Linked DNA regions of Ovis aries. The protein of the gene in region 1 interacts with the protein of each later gene in a pairwise test. Links are inferred from orthologs where the notes say so. Each region holds a gene or a part of one and is shown in the gene's direction. Other genes may lie near its edges.

Region 1 (3,753 bases):
CTTGCTCCTTGGAAGAAAAGTTATGACCAACCTAGACAGCATATTAAAAAGCAGAGACATTACTTTGCTAACAAAGGCTCATCTAGTCAAAGCTATGGTTTTTCCAGTAGTCATGTATGGATGTGAGAGTTGGACTGTAAAGAAAGCTGAGTGCTGAAGAATGGATGCTTTTGAACTGTGGTGTTGGAGAAGACTCTTGAGAGTCTCTTGGACAGCAAGGAGATCCAACCAGTCCATCTTAAAGGAAACCATTCCTGAATATTCATTGGAAGGACTGATGCTGAAGCTGAAACTCCAATACTTTGGCCACTTGATGGAAAGAACTGACTGATTTGAAAAGACCCTGATGCTGGGAAAGATTGAAGCTGGGAGGAGAGGATGAGATGGTTGGATGGTATCACAGACTCAATGGACATGAGTTTGAGTAAACTCAGGGAGTTGGTGATGGACAGGGAGGCCTGGTATGCTGCAGTCCATGGGGTCACAAAGACTCAGACGCTACTGAGCGACTGAACTGAACTGAACTGAGCTTAGGTCTTTTCATCATACAGATAGAGTGAGAGAAAATAAAAGGTAAAATTAGCAGCTAACACTCCCTAAGCATCTGTTATGTACCAGGTACAGTTTTAATTGCTTACCTATTTTATCACAACCATTTTGCTTCAGGAAAGGTAATCAATGCCTTGCCTGGTTTCACAGTTGTTAAGTGGTGGAGCTGAGATTGGAACTCTAGAGCCTGTGTGCTGACGCGGAATCCAGAGCTGGTGAGGGTTTCTCTAGGAGTGTCCCTGCTTGTCAGTTCCTTTGATTCCCGGAGCCTGGCACATTGTAGGCACTAGGTACATTTTTATTAGATCAGTGAACTGATTTATTTACCAACCTGTTGGAAAGGAAGAGAATGAAAAGATTGCCTGGCAGAATACTTGGGAGTTTGCCCATTTAATCCTTCACTTAATCAAACTCCTGTAAAAGGCAACCGCTCCGGGCCCACGACCGTGCTTATACTGAGAGACTCGAAGATCCAGGAGACAGTCTTGACCTTCATTATTCCTATTTGAATGTCATGTGCCGTCCCCACGCCACCGCAAATGTCTCATGCACAAATGTCCCAGGAGCTAGTCTTATATCCCCATTTTGCAGATTTAGAATCTCAGGCTGACAAAGGAATCTCCCTCGGCCAGGGTGGCTCGGCGACGTCCGTACCAGTCGTCAGAGGCGGGCGTCACGAAGAAGTGAGCGCGACAAGAAACAACAGAGAAACAGCCCTTAGCCGTTCTCGGCCGCGAAAACCTTCACCATATCAATAACTCAAATGCTCTAAATCTAAAGCCGCCCCAGCGTCCCACTGCTGCCATGGCAACGAGCGCGTCACATCGGCTGACGTGACGTCATTTCTGGTGCGCCGCATTCGCGTTCCGGCGCCTTAGTGGCGCGTTTCTCGCACGGAGTGGGGCTCTGAGTTTGGTCCGCTGAGCCGGGGAGAGGTGAGCTGGGCCCGGGCGTGGACGGACAGGGGACGCGGGGGTGTCCGTGCCAGTAGGAGAGGGGACTCTGGCTCGCGGAAGCGGGCCTCGGCCTCGCCGGTCCCTCTTCCCTTTGGCAGACAGCTCGGCCGCAGCGGGCCGGGGGCGGGGCCGCTCGAGGTCTCCGGGCCGACTTGGACCCCGAACCTCCACCGCGGGGCCTGGACGGCGCGGCAGCGAGACGCCGAGCCCTGGCTGCAGTTCAGCTGGTGTCAAGCCTCACCAGCCGTGGAGCCTAGGGAAGTTAATTTCTCAGCCTCGTTTTACTGAAGTCTGAGGTTCGAAGGCGCTCGCAGTACCTCCCTCGTAGAGGTGCCTTGATGCCTATATTAGATTATCGGCCTGAGGCGTCCAGCAAGGGCTTACTTAGCACCTCCTGGGGGCTCTGTAACTCGTGACAGCTCCGTGCTTTTTACCATGCCCTGTGCCCGAGGAGGCGGCGGTGATCGGCGACTCCCATGTATCTGGGACACGCCGCCTCCTCTGAGAGTATTTCCCACCTTTTTCGCGCCTGGATGACGTTGGGACCGGCAGGACCCAACCATTGCACCAGTGAGTTGAGTAGAGTTAAGTAGGGAAAACTTTCCCACAGAGCTGACCAGAGTTTGAACTCGCCTTAGAAGTGTTGTGAGTTGGCTGTCCCTGAAGCCTGCTTTTTGCAGCTGCTAGACGGAGGCCACAGCGCTGTCCTGCACCTAATGTACTGCGTTGCGGTGCCCCATGCTTGGCACATGGTCTGCATTTAATATCCATGCATTGAGTACCAGGTAGAGTGGGGATTTGAACTCGGTCTGTGTGATTTCAGCACCTGCTTTCACAATCACTTTGCTCCATGCTAATCCAGTAATAGGAGGGGCCATAGACCTAATCTGGGACTAGAGTAACAGGCACTTCCTGTGAGCTAAGTGTTTTGAAAGAGCCATCTCATTGATTCTGCTGCACAAGCCTTCTCTAAGGTTGGTACTGTAGTTAATCCACTTAAGAGACAGCTGAATCTCATCACCCAGCTACCCTGAGTGGATTGCTGCATTCCGGTTCACAGATGTGTGCTGTTTTAAGGTCGTATTCATAATCACTACTGCCTTCTAGTGCCTCAAAAGAGGTTCCTGTCTGGGGAAGAAAACCTGAGGGTTATATATAAGTGTTTTCTAAAAAAAAAAAGAAATCACTTTGCTCAACTGTTATAAGTCCAGATGAAACTCTTCACTCAGCAATAGAAAAAAATAATATCCAGGAAGATGTTTGCCTCATTTGTGAGGCAGTCATCCGTAGAGTAACATCCTTAAATTGTTTTTACATGGTTTGTGTGTATGTGCGTGTGGGTGATGTTTGACAACATTGAGAAGGAAATATGTTTTTATCCACATGGACTGTTGGGACTGGTCTTTTTTATTCTGTTTTGGTACCTGTTTTGTAAAATACGTTTTTAGCGTCTGCTTTATTGAATTGTAACAGTGACTTCAGTGGATTTTAGTTTGGAGGAAGTTGTGAGGGCAGCCTTCTGCTGCTGCCCTGGGACTTGTCACAAACTGTGCCTTTTCCCTGCCTCCCTTCAGTGACGGGCCATGTCGCTGTCCCACCTGTACCGGGACGGCGAAGGCCACATGGATGATGACGAGGACGAGCGGGAGAACTTTGAGATCACCGACTGGGATCTCCAGAATGAATTCAACCCCAACCGGCAGCGCCACTGGCAGACCAAGGAAGAGGCCACCTACGGAGTGTGGGCAGAGCGAGACTCGGATGAGGAGAGGCCCAGCTTTGGAGGCAAACGGTATGGCTGGCGCGGACCGCTTTCCCCAGGCGTTGGGGAGCTACCCTGCTAAGTACGCTTCTCTCCCGGCCTCCCCGAGCCCCTTAGCTGCGGCCTCAGCCAGGGAGCCCAGTTCCTCCTTCAGACAGAGCACTGCTCTCTCACTGACCGATCGATCACGAGTGAGCGATCATGTATCTAAAGCCTTGTGCTGCAGCCCCAGTCCTTCCCTTCCAGGAGCCCAGACCCCGGAGGATGAAGGCAGGCTCACAAATGGAAGTTTGTAACTGACGTAGGACCGGAGGGGGAGTACTTTTCCGGGTGTTGACCCGTTCTGGGAGGTCAGGGAAGATTGAGTGGTGAGGGGCAGGAGGGAGCAGAGCCCCTTGATGGGAGGAGCAGGGCGCCCAGGAGGGTGTGAGTGGTCTTATGGGGAGACGGGGGAGAGGGAAAGGAGGGGACTGTGGTCTGTGCAGA
Region 2 (3,753 bases), on another chromosome or scaffold:
ATTTACAGGGCAGCAGTGGAGAAACAGACATACAGAATAGACTTACAGACATGGGGAGAGGGGAGGAGAGAGTGAGATGTATGGAAAGAGTAACATGGAAACTTATATTACCATATATAAAATAGATAACCAATGGGAATTTGCTGTATGGCTCAGGAAACTCAAACAGGGGCTCTGTATCAACTTAGTTGGATGGGATGGGGCAGGAGACGGGAGGTAGGTTCAAAAAGGAGGGGATATATGTATACCTATGTCTGATTCATGTTGAGGTTTGACAGAGAACAAAATTCTGTAAAGCAATGATCATTCAATCAGAAAAAAAAAAATTTTAAGACTGAGGGCGGGGCCAGCGGTTGAGAGGTGGGACTAGGGGTGATGGGCAATACCCGAGAGAGGAGGAGACGAGGAAGTGGGAGGAGCCTCATCTAGGGGCGGGGCTTAGGGACAAGGCAGGCCAGAGAGCAGCCAGAGGGGTAGCAGCCGGGGGCTGGTCGGCGGGGCCAAAGATTTAAGGGTGGGACCAAGGACGAGCAGGGAACCTGGAACTGAGATGGATAAGGCAAGCAACTCCTCACCCGATTCTGCACCGTGTCCTCGGGAGCCGCCGGGAGTCGCGTCCGCCGCCGGAGGCAGAGCGGTGGAGCCGGGGGCGGAGAAGACTGGGCCCTCCGCGCCGGAACTCCCGCCATGACTGATGGCAGCTTCTCAACTGTATCATTCCGCGCGTAGCCTCCGGACCCCAAGGCCGCCATCGTCGCGTCGGAGCTCGGCGACCGTTACACTTCTCAACCGCCGCAGCCGCCACGGTCCACTTGAATAGCGAACGGCCGCGGGAAAGCCGGCGCCGCCGCCCATTGGGCGCGGGGGGCTGCTGGTCTGGCCAATCTCAGGGTTACCCGGCGGCGCTTTTGACCAATGAGGGCTAAGAGGCGGAGCGGGGGTTCTGGCTGGGTGGAGCCACGGCTTCTTTGCTAGATGTTTGATCGAACGTTGTGGAGTTTTTTTTTAATCCCGTCTGTGTTTTTATCATTCACTGAATTTCACTTTTGAACTTTTACGAGGCTAATGCCAAAGCCCCCTACCTCCAACCCTAGGCCGACTATCCTCGCAGTAGCAGTCGCCGGGATGTAAGCTAGGGTGGAGCCGAAAAAAGACTGAAGACTTTGCGCAGACTCAGAAAGGTCTTGACGACACCTCTTCCCCAACACGTGATGAAGGCCCGCGTCTCAGAGCCGGCTTTGCTTTATCCACTTGCCACGTGATGTGGCAACGCCGTCTGGCGCGTAATACGCAGGCGCAGCTTTCCTTCCCTCCGCATGTGACGAGGACCCAAGGGCCGTCACGTGAGGCAGGCGGCAAGCGCGCAGGTGGGGCGGGGTTCGGCGGCGCCTGGTGAGGATCAAAGTGCGGCTGCAGACCGGGCAAAACCCAGCTGGGCTGGACAGCCATGCCCAAGTACTGCCGGGCTCCGAACTGCTCCAACACTGCGGGCCAGCTGGGCGCGGACAACCGCCCTGTGAGCTTCTACAAGTGAGCGCAAGCGAGGGGCGGGGCTTAGAGGGAGGCGGGGGCTAAGGGCGGGGCAATGTGGGGCGGGGCCCGAGGATAAATGCGGCGGCGCCAGGCTTCTGGTCCAGGTTGCAGGTATTGGAAGCAGGGTTAGCTGGCTGAAGGGACGATGTTCCCCGCGTTTTACTTGCAGTAAAAACGGTACACGTAAACGTGCAAAGGTATGATACAGCAGGGATAGAAGATTAACTGCAGGTAGTGAACGGGGCGAACGGAGGAAAGGGAGGGCTGTGTAGAGGAGTGAGGTTGGTCCAGGCTCAGAAAGAGCTTACAGTTGCCCACTCGTCATCCCCACGAACTTGAGGCATCTCAAACTCAAAACATCCGAAATCGACCTCCTGACTCTCCCAGAACTTCCCATAAGCTTTCCTATCTAATAGCTTTCCATCCTTTACTGTCTTTCAGGCTAGAAATGCTTAAAACCAACTTTACTTTTTTCTCACACCTGAGAAAGTAAAACTTAGCTTGAATTTTTAAAACAAACCCCAAAAAACCTGCCTTCTAATTTATTTAGGTGGGATAACAGAGATGGGAAAAACTGGCTGAAGAGTTAATAGGAAAAAAATTTTTCTTAGGGACGTGCTGCAGATGTGAAGTAGCAAAACTTCCCTTCTTTAAGCAACTACTGCTTTTTTACTAGGAAGCTTTGTTCTCTAAAATCATAGGCTATCACAAACGTTGCTGTTTGAAATTACAACAGTAGGAATAAAACATCTTACTTAAGGCCTGGAGAAGTTAGGTCGCTGTGACACAGAGAAGCAGCCTTGATTTACAGTCCAGGTTCAAAGCTTCAGGTAAGGGGTTTCTGGACACAGTAGTTCATATCTATCCAAACTTTATTGCTTCCAAGGAGACAGAACCTGGGCCCACTTTGCAATCCAGGTCTGATATTGATCCATTTGCTCACAGTTCTGCTCTGCTTTGATCTTATCCAAACACTGTTTCACTTACATTTCATCTAAACTTTACCCATCCCCCAAACCCCAATAATGATGCTTCCCAGGTGGCGCTAGTGGTAAAGAACCCAACTGTCAATGCAGGATATGTAAGAGACCTGGGTCAGGAAGATCCCCTGGAGGAGGGCACAGCAGTCCACACCTGTATTCTTGCCTGGAGAATCCCATGGACAGAGGAAGCTGGCAGGCTACAGTCCATAGCGTCACAGAATTGGACATGACTGAAGCGACTTAGCATGCAAACCCCGATAATAATTATTTTCCTCTGTTTGATGAAATTCCCCACAGTACTTCTGGTGTGCAGTTCACTTATTGCCATGGTAAATAAACCTGACTTTATTAGACTCCAGGTTTGTCCCTGGTGGCCTTAGTCTAAATGGGCCAGGAAACATTCCTCATCTGGTCCATCAGCAAATCCTGTTGGCATTCCTTTTAAAAAAAAAATTCTTTTTAAATTTATTTTTGGCTGCACTGGGCCTTCCTTCATTGCTGCACACAGGCTTTCTCTACTTGAGGTGAGTGGGGGCTACTCTCTAGTTGTGGTACCCAGGCTTCTCACTGTGGTGGCTTCTTTTGTTAGCGCAGGCGCCAGGGTGTGGGGGCTTTAGTAGTTGCATGAGTGTGCTCAGTAGTTGTGGTCCACAGGCTTAGGTGCCCTGAAGCACGTGGAATCTTCCTGGACCAGGTGTTGAACCCATGTCCTCTGCATTGGCAAGTGGATTCTTAACCACTAACCACCAGGGAAGTCCAGGCTCTTCCTTTAAAGTCTATCCAGAATTGACCACTTCTCTCCCCCATCTTTGCCCCGACCCTGGCATTGGCCACCTCCTGACTGCACTATTTTAGTAGGCTCTCCATTTGACAAGCTGCTCCCACAGTCTGTTTTCCACGTGCAGTCACAGGGGACTGGTAACCCCCTGAGTCAGATCAGGGCTTAGATGCCTCCCCTGGCTGCCACCTGACTGTATAAAAGACAAGAAGGTGAGGCTGGAGCAGGCAGAAAGCAAGCCCACGAAGCCCTACAGGCACTGGATCCCCACTGTCTGGCCTTGTCTCCTCTCTCCTGCCCCTTATTCACTCCATGCCAGTGTCCCTGCCTGTTTGATGTTCCTCTAGCATGCCAGGCACTTTGTTGCCCCAGGGCCTCTGCACAGAAAGTTCTTCTCTTTATGACCACTACTCTGTAAAATGATAACCCTCTTCCAGTACGTGCATATTTTCTTTACTC
Region 3 (2,934 bases), on another chromosome or scaffold:
ATGTCTGTATCTCCCTAGCATTTAAATGAAAAGCTGCTCACAATGTTGATCATAAATTATCCCATTTAAGAAACCTTTTCGTGGCTTTGTCTATAAAGTCCCAGTCTTTCCTCTGTTCCTGTGTTCATACCATTCCCTCTGTACGGAATACCCTTCTTTCTCTCCCATGTTTCACAACTTTCCCTCCTTTGTGTTTCACTCCTGGGCATTTTTAATCATTCTTTGAGTGTGTCTTGACATACTGTCTCTTCTGTGACACTCTACCCAAGTTATGTTCTGTCTGTCACTTCATTTAATACACTATATTTAAAACTTCTTCAGAATTTCTTTTGTTACAGGTTTACTGGTAATACATTCTCTCAGGTTTGTGTCAGATTTGTCTGAAAGTATCTTTATTTTGCCTTCATTTTAATGCATATGTATTACGAAATAAATGCATAGGTAGAAATACAAATATGTTTGTGTAGGTGCTGTGTGTGAAAAATTGGATGCTTTCTCCCTAAAGATGAAGAACAAGGCAAGGATGTCTGGTCTGAGTCTTATTCAGCATAGTTCTGGATGTCTTAGCCAGTGTAATACAGCAATGAAAGGAAAAGCATAAAGGTTAGGAAAAAAAACACTTGCTTTATTCACAGGTGGCATAGTTTTCTATATTGAAAATCTCAGGCAATCTGTGAAAACCTCCATAGAACTAATAAGTGAGTTTAATACAGTTGTAGGGTATGAGAGTAATATGTAATAATCAATTGAATAGGTGAGCCAATTCTAAAATTCATTTGGGTGGACAAAGAAACTGATAACAAAAACAAGTTTTTAAAAGGATAGAGTTTGAGGAATCAGCTACTTGATTTTAAGACTTAAGAGGAAGTTACACTAATCCAGATAGTATGATATCGGCAAGAGGAAAGAATGAGTGAACTTAAAGAAAAATCAATAGAAATTATGCAGTCTCAACAGCAGAGAGAAAAAAGAGTTTGAAAGTACAGTAACTTCAGGGACTTCCCCAGCAGTCCAGTGGTTAAGACTCTGCACTGTCAATGCAGGAGGCATGGTTTGATCCCTGGTCCGGGACCTAAGATCCCACAAGCTGTGTGGCGTGGCCAAAAAACAAACCAAAAAAATAAAGTGAAGGAATGTGAAATACCATGCAATTTATTTAAAAACACACAAATAGTCCAGTAAGACTTCTTCATATAAAACTTGGAGGAAATTTGTTTTTCTTACCTCTTTCCTTCTAATTTTTAAAAATCTTCTTTAAAGGTTATCAACTGGCAAACATCTCTTCACATCCCACCGCAAGCTAAACTGAGTCCTGAAGCCTCTGATCTTATTATTAAACTCTGCCGAGGACCAGAAGATCGCTTAGGCAAGAATGGTGCTGATGAAATAAAAGCTCATCCATTTTTTAAAACAATTGATTTTTCCAGTGACCTGAGACAGCAATCTGCTTCATACATTCCTAAAATCACACACCCAACAGATACATCAAATTTTGATCCTGTTGATCCTGACAAGTTACGGAGTGATGATAATGAGGAAGAAAATGTAAACGACACTCTCAACGGATGGTATAAAAATGGAAAGCACCCTGAACATGCTTTCTATGAATTTACCTTTCGGAGGTTTTTTGATGACAATGGCTACCCTTACAATTATCCAAAACCTATTGAATATGAATATATTAATTCACAAGGCTCAGAGCAGCAGTCAGATGAAGATGATCAGCACACAGGCTCAGAGATGAAAAATCGTGATCTAGTGTATGTTTGACACACTAGGAAATAATTATAATGAGGATTGGCAAAAAGGCCTGAAACGCAGGGTTTTTTGAAGCTCTGAGAGTAAAATTATGCAAATATGACAGAGCTATGTATGTGTGCTCTGTGTACAATATTTTATGTTCCTAAATTATGGGAAATCCTTTTAAATATTAATTTATTCCAGCCTTTTAAGTCAGTAATTTAGAAAAAAATTTGTTATAAAGAAAGTAAATTATGAGCTGAATATTATAGTCAGTTCTTGGTACTTAAAGTACTTAAAATAAAAAATAGTGCTTTGTTTAAAAGGAGAAGCCTGTTTTCTATGTGTACATAATGCTAAATAATTTTTAAAAACAAGAATTTTTGAAATTTTTTTGAAAGACAGTTTTAGTTTTATCTTGCTTTAACCAAATATGAAATATATCCCACATTTACAGAGCTGGTTTTTTTTCCTTTCCCCATAACTTTATTCTTAGAAAAAATAAGCTATAGAAATGAAGGCATCATGGTGGTGAGTGTTCCTAGGCTAATGATAATCTGTATAATTCACATTTGATAAATTCAAAGTTGAATATGAATATAAAATATGAAATACAAAAATGAAATATAGTATGCTCATCCAAATGAAAAATAGTGCAGCTTATCTTTTTTCCCCCTGTGTAGAATATTTAATTTTTTTAACATATCTCAAAAATTAATGACTTTGAAGGAAGCAAATCACTACATTTTTCTTTCCATACTGGTATTTTTAATGCTGCTTTAAGTTTTTAAAGGGAATAAAGCTGCCATAAATTAAAAGTTTTAGTACTAAAGCTAAGATCTTTCATATTTTGACTTTGAGATTAAAAAATAATAATAATTCCACATTTTAAGCAGAGATTATTTTCAACTTCATATAAAACTTTGATTAGAACTTACTTGTGAGTACCTTTTCTATATAGTGATAGTTTGGATTATGTCATCAATAATGTTATAGATTTGCTCTTTCAAAACAGTGCTGCATACATGGACTGTTACTGGCAAAGGAAAGTCTGGCTGTTTGGCAGCATTTTACCTATGTCAGATTAATTGGTGAAAAAAATTATTATTATGTAACTCCTAATTAAGGTGGCCATTAGTAATTAGGAAAAAATACATAGTGGTCTTTTAGAAAATTCAAAACCTTATAACTTAT

The links.
Region 2: the proteins of TFIP11 (region 1) and THAP8 interact in binary tests that used the Homo sapiens proteins (3 or more experiments, as listed by UniProt). The two-hybrid records come from large-scale screens. The link is inferred for Ovis aries from reciprocal best matches to the Homo sapiens genes TFIP11 and THAP8.
Region 3: the proteins of TFIP11 (region 1) and LATS1 interact in a two-hybrid assay, tested with the Homo sapiens proteins (2 studies listed by BioGRID and IntAct). The two-hybrid records come from large-scale screens. The link is inferred for Ovis aries from reciprocal best matches to the Homo sapiens genes TFIP11 and LATS1.

What each region holds. Positions count from the first base shown.
Region 1 is NC_056070.1:66,369,601-66,373,353, reverse strand, and holds the start of TFIP11 (tuftelin-interacting protein 11), read left to right. Parts: upstream 1-1,420; 5' UTR 1,421-1,484; intron 1,485-3,079; 5' UTR 3,080-3,088; coding exon 3,089-3,297; intron 3,298-3,753. UniProt on the Homo sapiens protein: Involved in pre-mRNA splicing, specifically in spliceosome disassembly during late-stage splicing events. Intron turnover seems to proceed through reactions in two lariat-intron associated complexes termed Intron Large (IL) and Intron Small (IS).
Region 2 is NC_056067.1:46,019,527-46,023,279, reverse strand, and holds the start of THAP8 (THAP domain-containing protein 8), read left to right. Parts: upstream 1-1,338; 5' UTR 1,339-1,447; coding exon 1,448-1,530; intron 1,531-3,753. Other genes in the region: WDR62 (WD repeat-containing protein 62), read right to left, coding at 576-752.
Region 3 is NC_056061.1:73,957,937-73,960,870, reverse strand, and holds part of LATS1 (serine/threonine-protein kinase LATS1), read left to right. Parts: intron 1-1,260; coding exon 1,261-1,770; 3' UTR 1,771-2,934. UniProt on the Homo sapiens protein: Negative regulator of YAP1 in the Hippo signaling pathway that plays a pivotal role in organ size control and tumor suppression by restricting proliferation and promoting apoptosis.